2 linked regions of the Stegostoma tigrinum genome follow. The main gene of each other region encodes a partner of the protein of the gene in region 2 in a complex. Links are inferred from orthologs where the notes say so. Each region holds a gene or a part of one and is shown on either strand. Other genes may lie near its edges.

What was found.
Region 1: the proteins of arhgap35a (region 2) and ras GTPase-activating protein 1-like are in contact, whole or in part, in a crystal structure (PDB 8DGQ), measured with the Homo sapiens proteins. The link is inferred for Stegostoma tigrinum from reciprocal best matches to the Homo sapiens genes ARHGAP35 and RASA1. Residues at the interface, in NP_004482.4 of Homo sapiens: Ser1085, Asp1086, Tyr1087, Ala1088, Glu1089, Pro1090, Met1091, Asp1092, Ala1093, Val1094, Val1095, Arg1098, Glu1100, Asn1103, Ile1104, Tyr1105, Ser1106, Val1107, Pro1108, His1109; in NP_002881.1 of Homo sapiens: Arg188, Arg207, Ser209, Arg211, Val217, Asn228, His229, Phe230, Arg231, Ile241, Gly242, Tyr256, Leu262, Leu263, Lys264, Lys358, Ser379, Asp380, Asn381, Ser387, Gln397, Arg398, Phe399, Lys400, Met411, Gly412, Gly413, Arg414, His425, Tyr426.

What each region holds. Positions count from the first base shown.
Region 1 is NC_081356.1:95,788,502-95,796,354, forward strand, and holds the start of ras GTPase-activating protein 1-like, read right to left. Parts: upstream 3,013-7,853; 5' UTR 2,803-3,012; coding exon 2,462-2,802; intron 1-2,461. UniProt on the Homo sapiens protein: Inhibitory regulator of the Ras-cyclic AMP pathway. Stimulates the GTPase of normal but not oncogenic Ras p21; this stimulation may be further increased in the presence of NCK1.
Region 2 is NC_081392.1:11,810,003-11,817,318, forward strand, and holds the start of arhgap35a (rho GTPase-activating protein 35), read right to left. Parts: upstream 3,002-7,316; 5' UTR 2,399-3,001; intron 1-2,398. Other genes in the region: ap2s1 (AP-2 complex subunit sigma), read left to right, coding at 3,787-3,789.

The DNA of each region.
Region 1 (7,853 bases), on a different chromosome or scaffold from region 2:
TCCAAACAGCTCCAGGTCCAAAAGCTTCAGTTTTAAAACAGAGTTCAAATCCTGCCACACCGTCTCAAAATTCTGCATTATTCAAACTATGACCATCATTCCTTTTCATTTCCATCCCATATTTGTCAAGATTCCATCATTCCAGGAACTGTTCTGACAAAGGATTGCGTCTTTACTCATTGGAAAAAATAAGAGGTGATCTTATTGAAACACAAAACCCTGAGAAGACTTCATGCGGTAGATGCTGAGAGGATGCTTTCTCTCAGGTGAATAGAAACATGGGGGGTATCATTTAAAAATAATCAGTCTCACATTTAAGACACAGATAGGCATGCATCTGAACAAAAGTGTTTAACTGAAGCATTGCTTTTCCCTTTTCCATTTCAATCAATCATTTTGTAGTAAAAGGTCAACATTTCAGCAAAGTGCTTTGGGACATTACACTCAAGTTGCAATGTAAATACAAATTCTTGTAGTTGACTAAATCACATCATCTGTTCCAGGAGATAACACAGTGTGGAGCTGGAGGAATGCAGCAGGCCAGGCAGCAGAGGAGTAGAAAAGTTGATGTTTCAGGCTGAAGGGTACCAAACCAAAACGTCAACTTTCCTGCTCCTCTAATATTGCCTGGCCTGCTGTGTTCTTCCAGCTCCACACTGTTAACTCTGACTCCAGCATCTGCAGTTCTTACTATCAGTTCTGTGATCCGACTTGTCCAGGTTTAATTTATAGATGGGATCGCAACAATTCAAATATTCTAACCAAAACTAATTTCCACTGCACGTACTTTCATCTCCTACCACCACCAATTTCACATAATTAAAAATATTCATTTTCTCCAGATCTTTAGCTGTAATCTCCACAGATTGACTCTTATCCTCTTTTCCCAGGCTTAAATGGACATCCCACATATTGTATCTTTGATCTACTGATCTCCATCTTTTAATGCTTTTCCACAATTCTCCAAATACTCATGTTCTCATCATCCCCAATGTCATCTGCACACATCATAGACTTTCTGTATCATTTGCTTACTTGGAACAACCATGACAAGCAATTCTTGGCGCAATCCAACTTTGACTTTGAAACTCTCACTCACCCCTACACTATTTGTTATTCTTTTCTCGACTGCCAGTGTTTTTCTTAATTTAGAGATGATATACACACCATAGTGTTGGGAAAGTTCAAAAATCACAATGCATTCAAAACAAAATGGAAATATTCAGAGTTCTGAATATACTTGCACAAAGTGTACAAGTCAATTTCAAATAGATGGCGACACCACAACAAGGCAAACCCATCAAGATTACCACCAAAGCTAATATTGGAAATTAAGGTGCTTGCACTCAAGTGTTATTATAATTTATCACCCCAAATAATCAAAAAATATCAATCTCAGGATTTCAGCAAAATCCTAAAAGATGCAATTACGGAATTGGAATTACAAACCAATCGATGAAATATTTGCATTGACACAGATACGACAGATAGAACAGTCTAATCCTATACTTAAATCGGAGTTGAAAAAAAATCAAAAACAGATCGCATGATTTTAACATCACTATAATTATGTGAACTTTCGATATTCAAAGTTATTATACAATTTAAACAATTTTAAAAAGTGATTAGCTTTACAAACAGAAGGTTCATTTCGCAGGACCGTGCGCAACTGAGAACTGATATCCAGGAATCACAAAACACTTCCCGATAATCTGTAACATTCTAACTTCGAGAATGCAGGTCTGACCGTAGCGTTTGCATATGCTTTCCTGAGTAAATTTATCAGTGTCTCTTAAAACTTTGCAACCACTCAGTTCTTTTCAAAATGTTTAAGTATTTGCAACACCAGTTTCATATTGACGCACCTAATCTGCTATAAATCAAACCATTCTCCCAACTGAAGCGACTCATAAGAAGCATGTTTAAAATCACAATTCATGTGATATAACTGAGCAGTAACCAGTAAGATGAACAAAACCAAAAAAGGTAAAACAGAAAGTCTAAGGTGTCTCGATTTCCTCCAACAGTTACACAACATTCCTGATATCCGCAAACAGCTTCCAGTATCATTCCAAATCCTGTAAATCATCAGCAACGTAGAATATTCCAGCATTAAAGCACCAAACAAATTAAAACGAACACTGCTCAACAAGAAGGCAATTTTGAACACCTCGAACATTCAAGACTTCAATCAGCATGTGGTAAATAATAGCTAGAAAATCAGCTTCCGGCTAATGTGAACTATGAATTCACACTCCTCTCGGTAGCAACAGACAAAGCATGTTATGTTGTCTCCTTTTCTGTTAGCTTTATGTTTACAATTATTTCGAGTCAGGTGTGATGGCAGGCCTGCGGCACTGGCTCTTTGTTCTCAGGAACCTTCCCTCCCACCTTCTTCACCCCCCCTTGACAAGCCCCTGGGCCGCTGTCTGGGACAGGCCATCTCTAGCATATTACTCACTGGTTGGTTGGAGGAGCCGTCAGCGGGATCTCCACTTCTTCCTCTTCAAACTCATGGCCGTCGAAAGAATCCACTTCGTCCGGGGGCACGGGGAGGGCAGTAGCACCGGGGATATGGGAAGCCCCGACAACAGGTTCGGAAAGGAGCGGGGCCGGAGGCGGTGGTGTTGATGCTGCTGGTGGTGGTGACAATGATTCGGACTCGACAGGCCGCACGGTGCTCAGTTCTGACACTTTCTGCGGGGAAGACTGGAAAACAGCGGTCTCCGAATCTGCGCCCGGAGCCGCCACGGTCATAGCCGCCGCCAACAAGCAATCGTTCCCGACTTCCGCCGCCATCATGGTCACAGCCCCGCGTACAGGCACACACACAATAACAGGGGGGAGTCAGAGGGCCGGTTGGAAGAGGAAAAACTTTTTACATATAAAAATATCAACATGCGACAGGAGTGGCGTAGGGGGAAATGAAGACTCAACTTTAGCACAGGAGCAGTCGGCAGAGAGGAGAGTTCATGACTTCATCAGTCTTCCGTCCGTCCGCCATGCAGTTTGGGGGGGGGGGGGGGGGGGGAGAGTAAAGCCACTCACTCGCGCCGCGTGGGTGGGGAGCAGGGGGTGGGCGCTTGCTTGCTTGCTCAAACTCCGGCTCCGAGCGGGTGAAGGCTGGAGCGCGAGCTGTAGCTCGCGGTGCAGCCGTTAAAAAGTCAGTAGTGCACGCGATCGTTTCAGGTCCCGGACCCAGCTTATCAGTCACAAGACATGCAGTGGCTGTAAACTAAGAAAATGCTCGCTCGCTGTCACACACACACTCCCCGCTTTCTTGCGCAACTTTTCTTGTGCTATATCCGTTTCAGGCTCGAGAAATCGACTTCAATCCGGGGAAACGATGTGCTCTGCAATCCCGCAACACCTCAGACTACAGAAATCGGGGTGCGTGGGCATATTGTGTGTATGTCTTAGATAATAAAATGTGAGGCTGGATGAACACAGCAGGCCAAGCAGCATCTCGGGAGCACAAAAGCTGACGTTTCGGGCCTAGACCCTTCATCAGAGAGACTGCTGTGTTCATCCAGCCTCACATTTTATTATCTTGGAATTCTCCAGCATCTGCAGTTCCCATTATCTCTTGTGTGTATGTCTTGTTTGCGAAAGAAAGACAATGAAGGAAGCTGAATGCTAGTCTTCCTTTTTAGGAACCACGTTTATTCGCTCTGACTGTAAACGTAAGGACTGTTTAGCTGAATGTTACTTCAGAGATAAGATATTTTCGGGTGTTCTTTCGCTCCTGATCCTGAGATCTTATTCAGGAGTCTTCCTCGATGTCGACAACCCAGTATCAGATGTCCAACTTCCGCATCTTTTCTATAAATGAACATGAATGAGGTTGTTGTGCAAAACGCAACAAACCTCAACTTCCTTATTTATTTATATCACAAGCTTTTTTAAATAAAAGTTCTGATTTCACGTATCAATTGGTAATCTGCTGAAAATGTGAAAATCGATTTTAGAAATGTTTGACAGGGAAACAGACCGGTCCATGTTAACTTCAGAGTAATAGTTATAACTGCGCACACAAAACTAATGGACAGAAGAAAAAAACAACTGATCTATTAGCCCTGCCCAATTCAGTTTTGTGTCAACTAAATTTAGGTTTTATTCATATTTTCTTCTTCGTAGTGTCAGGCAGCTCTAGTACTAGGCAGAAGTAGATAGGTGCTTGACCGGGAGGATGAGAGGGGATATGCACAAATGTGGAGTAAACGTTAAGCTAAGATCAACTATGATTTTATTGAATAGTGGAGCAGGCTCAAAGGGTCGGGTGGCCTACTCTTGTTCCATGTTCATGTATCTCAAGATTAAGGATTGTGCTTCTGTGCTAGTTGAATGGACTTATCAGCAGTTTCAGAATTGGCAGATTGTGCTACGTGGGACATGTGATGCTTGAAGAATCGTATCAGTCCTATTGAATGGTGGAGCAGGCTCAAGGGGCTGAACAGCCTATACCTCTTTTTATTTCTTATAGACTTGGGGAAATGGTTTGTTTTGAGGTTTGTCTACTCCCTACGTTACCTCACTTCTGCATGTTCTGCTTGAAGTATCTGTCACAGAAAAATTACTAGAGAAAGTCATCATGTCTGGCAGCATCTGTTCGGACAGAAAAAAAATGTAATTGTTTCAAGTTCACTGGAGACATCAGACTTGAAATGTCTGCTTTTATTTGAGGTTTCTGGATGTATTCTGAATGCACTTTCTCGATTTTAGTTGGTCACAGCTGGGGTCTCCATGAGTCAGCAAATATGCTTGACCTCCGTAAAGTTCCTGTTTCTGAGTCTGAGTTCATGGTTTAAAGGACAGCTGTGATTCGCGCTCTCCTATATAGAACATTACAGCACAGTACAGGCCCTTTGGCCCTCGATGTTGTGCCGACCTGTCATACCAATCTCAAGCCCATCTAACCTACACTATTTCATGTACGTCCATATGCTTGTCCAATGACGACTTAAATGTACCTAAAGTTGGCAAATCTACTACCGTTGCAGGCAAAGCGTTCCATTCCCTTACTACTCTCTGAGTAAAGAAACTACCTCTGACATCTGTCCTATATCTTTCACCCCTCAATTTAAAGCTATGCCCCCTCATGCTCGCCGTCACCATCCTAGGAAAAAGGCTCTCCCTATCCACCCTATCGAACCCTCTGATTATTTTATATGTTTCAATTAAGTCACCTCTCAACCTTCTTCTCTCTAATGAAAACAGCCTCAAGTCCCTCAGCCTTTCCTCGTAAGACCTTCCCTCCATACCAGGCAACATCCTAGTAAATCTCCTCTGCACCCTTTCCAAAGCTTCCACATCCTTATAATGCGGTGACCAGAACTGTACACAATACTCCAGGTGCAGCCGCACCAGAATTTTGTACAGCTTCACCATAACCTCTTGGTTCCGGAACTCGATCCCTCTATTAATAAAAGCTAAAACACTGTATGCCTTCTTAATAAAAGCTAAAACACTGTATGCCTTCTTAATATGCTTGGGATATTTGAAAGATAATATTAAACAAGTACAATTCTTAAAACGGTTGAGAGACGTAGGGATTTGGGTCTGTAGTTTTGTAATATACATATACAGATCATTAAAGGTGGCAAGATAGGAGAGAATAGTGAGTAAAGCATTCAATATCCTTGGCTTTTTTTTAGCAGGGACATAGAACACAAAAGTAACAAGGTGGTTTTGAACTTGCATTAGATATTTGTACCTTAAAGCATTAGAGAAGTATCAACCAGTGGTCTTTGCAAGATTCACCAGATATGGCCTTGAGAAAGGTGGCCCAACTGAGATGACACTCTCAAGGCAACGTCTCAAGCATCAACATGTTAATCATGCTAATCAGCCAGCTCTGGTCGTATAGCTGTTGTCAGACTTTCAAAACAATTGCTCAACTCTGAATTTGGTCGCAGCAGAAGGATTCCAGGAGGTTCATAATAACTTTTAGGGTCTTATGTCATTCCAAAACATTCAATAAGTACTTTTAATGTAGGAAACACTGACCAATCTGTGCATGGCAACTTTACACAACAGAAAATAAATAATTACCAAATATTAGATAATCTTTTCTAGGTGTTGGTTAAATGCAGCATTCGATTGTCAGCCTGGACTATGTGCTTTTGGGTATGGAGTGGAGATAAGCTTACTGAGCCTCTGCTAGCCATCACCCTTTCAATCTTCTCTGTTATTTGTTGTTACCTACTCAGTAGCTGTTGCTTTATTTGTTTCAGTATATGCTAATAAGCCCTTACGTTCTGAAGGAGTTAGTAGTTATTAATACAGACAGTATGTGGGAAGTCAGAAATCAAACAGGGTTCTGGGGAGAGTATGAGCATGTAGGAATATGGGAAAATGAATTGCCTGATCTGGAATTGAATCTATGTTTAATATATAATCTGATAGACTGCCACTTTGGTACTGCCCAGTGATATCAGCCTAAATTAGCTGTTCAAGTCTCTGGAATGTGGCTTAAGCATACAACCTACTGACTTAAAGGAGAGATTCATACAATTGAACTACACACAGACCTGTGAGGAAAGGTAAGTCATGGAATAAAAGATTCAGTAGCAACATGGATACAAAATTTGTTGAATGATAAGAAACAGGGTGTAATGGTGAATGAATTTTGTTGAGGCTGGAGGAAGATTTGTTGTAGAGGGGTGTGGGGGTCCTTTTCTACATACACACATTTTCTATATAATTTATAAAATATAAATAGATGATCTAGATTTTGGTCTCTGCAGACAATAATTACAAATTTTGCTAATGACACAAAACTTGGAAGATTTGAAAGCTGTGAGAAGGACAATGTGGAACTACAAAAGGACATAGATCAGTTAGTGACTTGACAAGTATGAGGTGGTGTATTTTGCGAGAAAAACATTGAAAGATAATATTAAACAGAAGTACAATTCTTAAAAGGGTTGAGAGACGTGGGGACTTGGGTGTGTAGTTTTGTAATATACGTAATATATATGTAAGATCATTAAAGGTGGCAAGATAGGAGGGAATAGTGAGTAAAGCATTCAATATCCTTGGCTTTTTTTTAGCAGGGACATAGAATACAAAAGTAAGGAGGTGGTTTTGAACTTGCATAAGATATTTGTTAGACCTCAGCTAGGGTATTATGCACAGTTTTTGGTGCCAAAAAGGAATGACCACATTGGATAGTGTTTGAAGGTGATTGACAAAAATGATTTCAGGGATGAGAAACTACAGTTATGAGCATAGAACGAAGGTGAGATTGTTGTTCTTGGAGAAAAGAAAGCTAAGTGGACATTTGTTCGAAGTTTTCAAAATAATGTATATCTGGATGGAGCAGATGGGGATAACTGTTCCTGCTTGCAAAAGGAACAAGAAGTTGCGGGGGTAGATTTAAAGTGATTTGCAAAAGAGGCAAAGGTGATATGAAAAAAAATCACTCTGAGTAGTTATGATATAGAATGCACTGCCTGGAAGTGGTGGAGGAGTGTTCAACTGAAGCATTCAAGAAAATATTGGTCGATTATTTGGATAAGAATAATATGCAACAAGTATGGGGAAAGAACAGGAGATTGGTGCGAAGTAATGATGATCGAAGAGCTGGTGCAGACACAATGCGCCAAATGACCTCCTCCTGTGCCATAAGGCTTCTGTATCTCTATGAGTTGCACACATGTTTTTGACTCGGGATATCAAATGAGTTTGAGAGATCTAGTGACTACAAAGTAAGTCACACAATACCTTTTGTTCAGAAAAAGCTGTTGATTTTTCTCTAAAGAAATATCCACAAAGATCTAAATAAGTTGTAAGTAGATCTCTAAGCCTATGAAAATAACTTAAGGCTTTTAAAGAATGTAAAATCTAGTCGT
Region 2 (7,316 bases):
AATCCATTCTTAGCAGGTGAAACAGCAGAAGAGACAACACTGATTTCTGCACCTAAACCCTCTTCCAAGTCCCTTGGTAATGCCGTATTTGTCAGGTAGCAATCCCTCCTGGCTAAAAAGGTGATAATCAAGAAATCATATAGGAGAAAATTCTGCAGGCTGTAATGCGGAGTGTCTTCATGCAACCCATCAGAAACAACTACCATTAATTCTTTGTTTTAAATTCAAATAGTGATTAAAATTCTGATCTGTGAATGATTTTTTAAAGCAATTCATTGGCCTTCATATTAATTTATTGCAGTATTTTCAAAAATTATATACACTGCTGCAAGGTTATTTGGTCTAATTGATTTTTCACATTCTAACTTCCAAGAATTTAAAAATATGAAGATCAAGATAAAATCATTACAGAAATCAACATGAGAAAATGCCAAGATTGATCTTTGAAGATTACAAATGATTTATAGTTCAGAATGGAACAGAGCCTCTTGCAATTGGAAGATGGCTCATGTCTGCAATTCCTGCTGCATAAACATTCGTCAGTGTAATTTTTCAGAGGCAGGAGGAAGAAAAAGTGAGAGAGAGAGACACATTCTAAGTTAAAAGCGACAAAAATAAAAAGGGATCCAGAGGTTAACGGCAAACAGAATAGAAAAACATCAATAAATGAAATCTAATTCATTAAATATACAGTTCCAATTCTTACAGGGCACGGTTCTACGGCTGCTAACAAGGTCATTCCAGATGCATGAAACTCGCCAGGGAACTTCTGCAGCCTATCCATTCACAGCAATCATCACAACTGAACCTTGAAGCTTTCCTCGCTCACGTCTGTGCACACCCATGTTTCATTGAAAAGCAGCAGTGAAACTACCTGAATATACCTCTGCCCCCTAGAAGGGCAGCTACTATCATGACTAAGGATGGCTTACTCACCACAAGCCACGAATCCTGGGCCTAACTGGTTACATTAAGTTTACAGCTTTCATACTGGCACCTTACACGCACAGGATTTTCCATTTTGTCATGTTAAGATCAATGGAACAGCTCAAAAATCGTGAGGGGGTTTTGATACAGTTACTTAGGTTATTGGCACTGATGGCGAATTGGTAACTGATAAGCATAAGTTGGTCAGCTCAAGAAAAATTATAATTAAATTTGGAGGGGGCTAAATTACACTCACTCCATTAGATCTTACTGGCAACACTGTCTAAAAATAATGCAGTAGATGGGTGGATTAAAGAAACCTTTGTAAAAGGACAGAAGAACTCAGTTTATAATATCACTCCAATTCTGATCTCTTAATGCCTTGTAATACAATCTGGAGAATCCCTCCACCATAGTTCACTGAATCATGAACATAAACAATTCCCCTCACCCCAGCCCATAAAAGTATACTTCGATATAATAAACCAGAAGTCACTCTTTTGGATGCATACCACAAACATGTGCTTAACGCAATGGATACCAACATGTCAAGGCATATTCCACATATATTCAAAAAGGGGGAGGAGGGTTCAGACAGAGTTTGTAGACTTGAAGTCACTGCTTAAACACAGAGTGCACCATGCTCATTAAAAGCAGAAATCACTACATCCGTGAACGTACTATGTTTTATGTCAGCACATACATGCTCTTTAACTGAAAAAAAAACAGAAAGAGAAAGAAACAAGCCCATTCACTTTTTTTTAAAAAAAGCCAAAACAATTTTTTCCTTCTATTTCAGCATCTAACCCTTCTCAACTTTTAGGAATGGAATAAATAGAATGAGAACTTAATATTCAAAATTAATCAATAATCCATTATCCGGACACAGTTATATCTTTATCACTTGTATACGTATTGAGTTTTAAGTCTTTCTTAAAACTAGATTGCCTTGAAGCTGCTCAAACATTTTTTTCTGCAAAAAGCATTTTAAATTATTCTAGGTGCTGCATGTTAGAGGTGACAGCAATATGCCCAAGCAATTAAAAACTAACACCGTAAAATGCAAACAAAAGTCTGAAACAGATACATTTTCTAAACTTTCCTTACATAATCCTACTAATTGTTAAAATTCATTCATTCAGGGAAGAGAAAGGTGTCATTCATTTTTATATGTTTTAACAATGAAAAAATGAAATTAGTTCTTCAACACGTATTGACACATGGATTACTCAACCACATCAAGTAGTCTAAAAAATTTTATTCCATTGACTGCTCTCAAAATACATGTACAAACCAAAAGACACCAGCAAAAATTCCCCCGAAATATTTCCAACGAAATAAATGCTGGGAGGCCAAAATCAGAGAGAAAGAGCAGGTTTAGAATACAAATTAAAGATCCACTCAATGGGAAGAAAAAGAGATTGTAGATGGAAACGTGAGAGATGAGAAAGAAAATAAAACATCTCCCTACCTTTGCTTTCTTTCCACAAGATGAGGCAAATAATAGACACAGGTTTGTTCCTGGGTCTATCTTAAAATTTATGGTCAGCAGACATCTTGTTTTCCTAAGGAATCACAGGACAGATTTGGAGGATAGGGAATGTATGTGGATTAAAGTAATGTGGTTTTTTTCCCCAAACCCTCTCTTTTGCTTTCTCTTTGCTCTCGTTCCTCTTGCAAATCTATGACCGGACAGAAATGGCGGATATTTCTTCCGTACTCGTTCCCTTCAACAACTTTTTCTCTTTGCTGCTGCTAGATTCCCCCCAGGAGTAGACATCGCCCATGATGCTTCTCAGGCCGCCATGGAGGCGCAGTGATTCGATGGGTCAGGTGATCTCTCCTCCTCCAAGAGACAAATATATTTTTCTTTCCTCCTCCTTCCCGATCGTCAAACAATTAGTCAAACATCAACAAAAATCCACCTCCGCACACACCATTCGATAGGCCCCGCCCGATTTTCACTCAAAATTGCCGCCTCAACTATCCCCCTCAAAATAATACTTTAAAAAACTGGCCTCACGACAATGAGTACATTTTTTCACCCCCTTCCCCCTCGCTCCTCCACCATCGTCGTTTGTTTTCCCAACCAAGCTTGATGATTTCATTTTTTTAAATCCCCGCCTACCCTCTCTAGGCTTCCATTGGGCAATCTCCAAGGAGACTCGGATTCCATTGGACATTGATCACGTCAATCAGGTTCGGCGTCCATCCAGCACGTTAGGTTGTAGGCCTCCGGCGGCTCTGAGGGTGGTGGTGGAGCTGAGGGATGTGGAAGGCGACAGCGCCGGATCGGAAGTTGGGTGTGACCGAGGGTGCCGGGAATTGTAGTCTCATCTCCCTAGCTGTATACAGCTTTTGCATTATTTAATTCACTCAGCATTACAATGAATTGTAATGCAATCGTATTCCTCGATTAGTGAGACATCTAAATGTCGATGAGTCACTGCTAGGCTTGATTAACATGGCTAGAATCAAGAGACAAACTTGAGAGTCATTTTCGTGACCTGGGACTTCGTTTGTGTTTTTATAGTAACATCTCCCGGTGAAAAATATTTCCTTAGCATTCCAAAAGGGACGCATTGTGATAGATTTGAATTGTGGTGTTATTGGGAAAGAGAGGAGGAAACGGCCGGGCGCGGATGGAAAGAACTACATTCCCCAGCGTGCCTTGGGTGAGGCTAGCGCATGTGCGGTGGTGGGCTGCGGGTTCTGACAGTCAGCGGTGACTGAAAGGGAGAAAAAAAAGTGTCCCCTCTGAAATAAAATATCATATGTCCCGGCAAAGGGAAAGAAATAAACTCCCATAAAACACAGCTTTTTATAAAAAGAAAACCACACCCAAAAAGCAGAGTCGTAATGGTAAGTAGTGATCTTTTTTTAATTTCCCCATTTCGAAATAGATTGAATGTAGGATGAGGCCTAACGTAAGCCCAGCGATGAAGGGTTTTCTGTAAATTATAAAAATAACGCAAATGAATTAACAAAAGGTGGGTAATTCTTCAAAAAGGCAAACCTTAGGATTGAAATGTTTGCTTTGGTATCTTACAGCCACAGAGTGAATACTTATCGTGAAATAGAGGCCTTGTCGCTTTTCCCTTGCTTAAAGCATCCACTGAGTGTTTTTATGTCGTAAAAGTCAAAAATGGTACAGGTATAATTGAGCTTTTGCATTTTCAAAGGAGCAGTTTTTTGAAGGTGGTAGCCATAATTGACAGGTTTCAACTATCAGGAAAAACTGAACAGGTTTGGGGCTGCTTTCTCCAGAGAAGAAAAAAAGCTTTGGACGACCTGGTAAGGTTCTTCATAAATGTGAAAGGTTTTGTCAGGGCAGATTTCGAGAAGATGGTTCTACATATTGCTCAGACCAGGTCACGTGGGCCATATGTAGATAAGGTGGTCACTGATAAATCCAACAGGAAAATGACTTGGCCCAGAGAGTGGTGAAAACGTTAAACTCACGTTTCTAAGGGTCACTGGACACAATTCAGATTTCTCTCCAGGGATGTTGCCAGACTTGCTGAGTTTTGCCAGCAGTTTCTGTTTGTGTCACTTTCATAAGGCATAGCTGAGAATAATTTAACTGAAGTTCATAAAAATGCGAGGACAAAAGGAATAGGACAATCTTTTGAGGGGGTTAGAGAAGAAAGGATTGAAGGAACCTTGGATGGAGTGTAAACCCGGGTATGGTCCTGTTAGGGTGAAAATGTTTTGATTTTACATTTGCTTTGTAAATCCGAAATGCATACCAAATGCTAGAAATGTGCATTAGGTTTTGTTTTTAGGGAACAAATTTATCTAACAGGTCCATGATAAAATTGATTTATTCTGAGTTTTTTTATTTTGGTTCTGATACTTTAGTTATGCTTCCATAAAATAAGGGAGGACATGCAAATTTGTTTCTTTCCCTCTCAATTTTATGGATCATCTTGAGAGAGCATCTGAAGAAGACCAGTTAGTGTTTTGGAACTGGACCATACCTCTAAATTTTAGGACCAAGAACTTGACTTCCTTTGGATCTGCATATGTTCAGGGTATCTCGCAAGAAATAAACTAAATTTAATGTTTCGGTAGGAAAAACTAATGATATTACGTGAAAAGTTCTAGTGTTTGCTATTTTCACAAAGAAGCAAGTAATTGAATTAACAACCAGTTAATAGATTTAGAAACAGTACAAAGATGTGTAAATTACTTTAAAGCATAGGCAAGGATACCTCAATTTAGGAGACAGATGCATAGAATTTGAAAGGTCAAAGGAATGACAGCAGCCACAGCAATTTATATTTCAAGAGAAAAGGGTGTTGATTGGATAGAAAGTGGATTCTGACAGTCAGGTGTTGCCATGAAGAAAGCAATGAAGATATGACAGGTTCCCTGATCTTACAGATAATTCAAAGGCGACACAAGCATTGAGCATATTCTTTTTGTTTGCAGAGGATGGGCCCCTGTATATATGAGAGTGTGCATTTGAGCTTCAAACTGATGAAGCATGTTGGCAACCTACATCTTCCTTGCTCTGTGACCAAATGTAGGAATTGTGTAGTTTTGCATTTCAGTAAAATATTTGATTTTCCTCTATCCCTAAGGAAAACATCCCCTCTGAGGAATTACCAGAGATCAACAAGCTACATCTGGGGAATTGTCAGACCTCTTACCTTCACAATTCCTTTGCATTCCTTGAAATGGCAAAGTAATCATGATTATAATCTTAAATTCTCTGTCAATGTGATGGGACCTAGGCAAAGGGTTTTTGTTATGTGGCTTACAGTTGATCTGTATGCATTGCGTCTTCTGTCCCATACCATATGTGCACTCAGTTGGAATATCTACATTGCTTTCAAATTATTGCCCTTGGATTTCTTCTCATTTCTGGGGCAATTCTGCATTTTCTTCCATCCAGTTACAAAAATTAAGAATAAATTGGGCTATGTCCTATTCCCAAGTTTTTTTCAAGTGGATGTGGTCAATCACTGTTTGATATATCTGGTACCTGGGATGAAGAAGTTGTCCTATAAGGAAAAATTGAGGTATGGGTGTTACTGGTTGAGCATTGCACATCACCAGTTGCCCTTTAGATGGTGGTGCGCTGCCCCATTGAACTACTGAAATCCATTTAGTGTAGATACAACCACATGCTGTTTAAGAGGCATTCGACCTTGCAACATTTTCTATAGTGTTAAATCTGCTATGGGGTTGCATTTGATAATAGATTGTAAATTTTTTCAGAATGGAGTATGAATTTTATTTGTATAGCTGAAGACATTTTGAATAAAATCATTCATTTTACCTGGATTTATTTTGAATTTACACTGGGGACATATATTTCATAAATGGAGGCCATTTTCGCAATATACTTCAGCAGCTTGGGTAACTATATTCCAGAATATTTTGGGATTGTCGTTAAAGTAATACCACTTTATCTTTTATCTCCAGATACAAGTACAAGTCTTGCTCAGTCTAATATAATTTAAGTATTCTCATTACAGGTTAGAATGGTGAGTTTTAACCTTGTTCCCAAAGACTAAGAGCGCAAAGCTGACTGTCAGTCAATAGGGAGTCATAGAATGGGAATGCTTTAGAAGTGTCCTGCTACAGTCACAGCTGATGCAGGCTGGGTCAGTTGGTGCTAATGCTAGGTTTCAAAAATGAAAAAGTTTTATTTTCTCATCTCTTATCCTGATGATTAAAAAAGCTCACTAAATTAAATATTGCTAAGTCACATTTTTTGCAATTCAGAATTGACCTGTTCATTGTTAATTTATTCCATCGGTGGGTACAAATTATTTAAAAGTTTAACTGAAGTGGGGTCTGTTTCCAGGGCTATTTTTTAAGGATGTTGTTTCTTTTCCTGAGGATTTCCTAGTTTTAAACAGTATTCTCCCACCCTACATTACCAACCACCAGTCTAATTAGAGACTTCATCAGCATTGTGTCCTGAGCCGCTGAGTTAGCAGACAGGACTTCCTGATTAGTGCCAACACTTAATAGAAATACTTGAATGGAAAGAAGAGCTAGCTAATGCTTTTACTTAAAAAATAAAGGACCTAATATTCAATTTTAGCAATGCTAATGTGTACATGTTTATTTTTGCAGCATAGCTAAAACCCAATGTCCAGTCATGTCGAATTAACCAATGCAGAATAATCAAATACTGTAGTTGTTGACAGCAGCATATTAAATGAATGCCATTGATGTTAGTGTGCTTTTAATATTGGCCAAAGTGAAGAATTGTGCCAGATAATGACAATTTTCAAATTCCATCATCTATGGACTTGAATGGGTTTGAGAAGGGCAGTAAACATAGACATAAAATGACTGCAGTAATTACCTGATCCCAGATTGATTTCCTAGACTTCTTTCAATGGGGAGTAAACAAAATAACCCCAAAC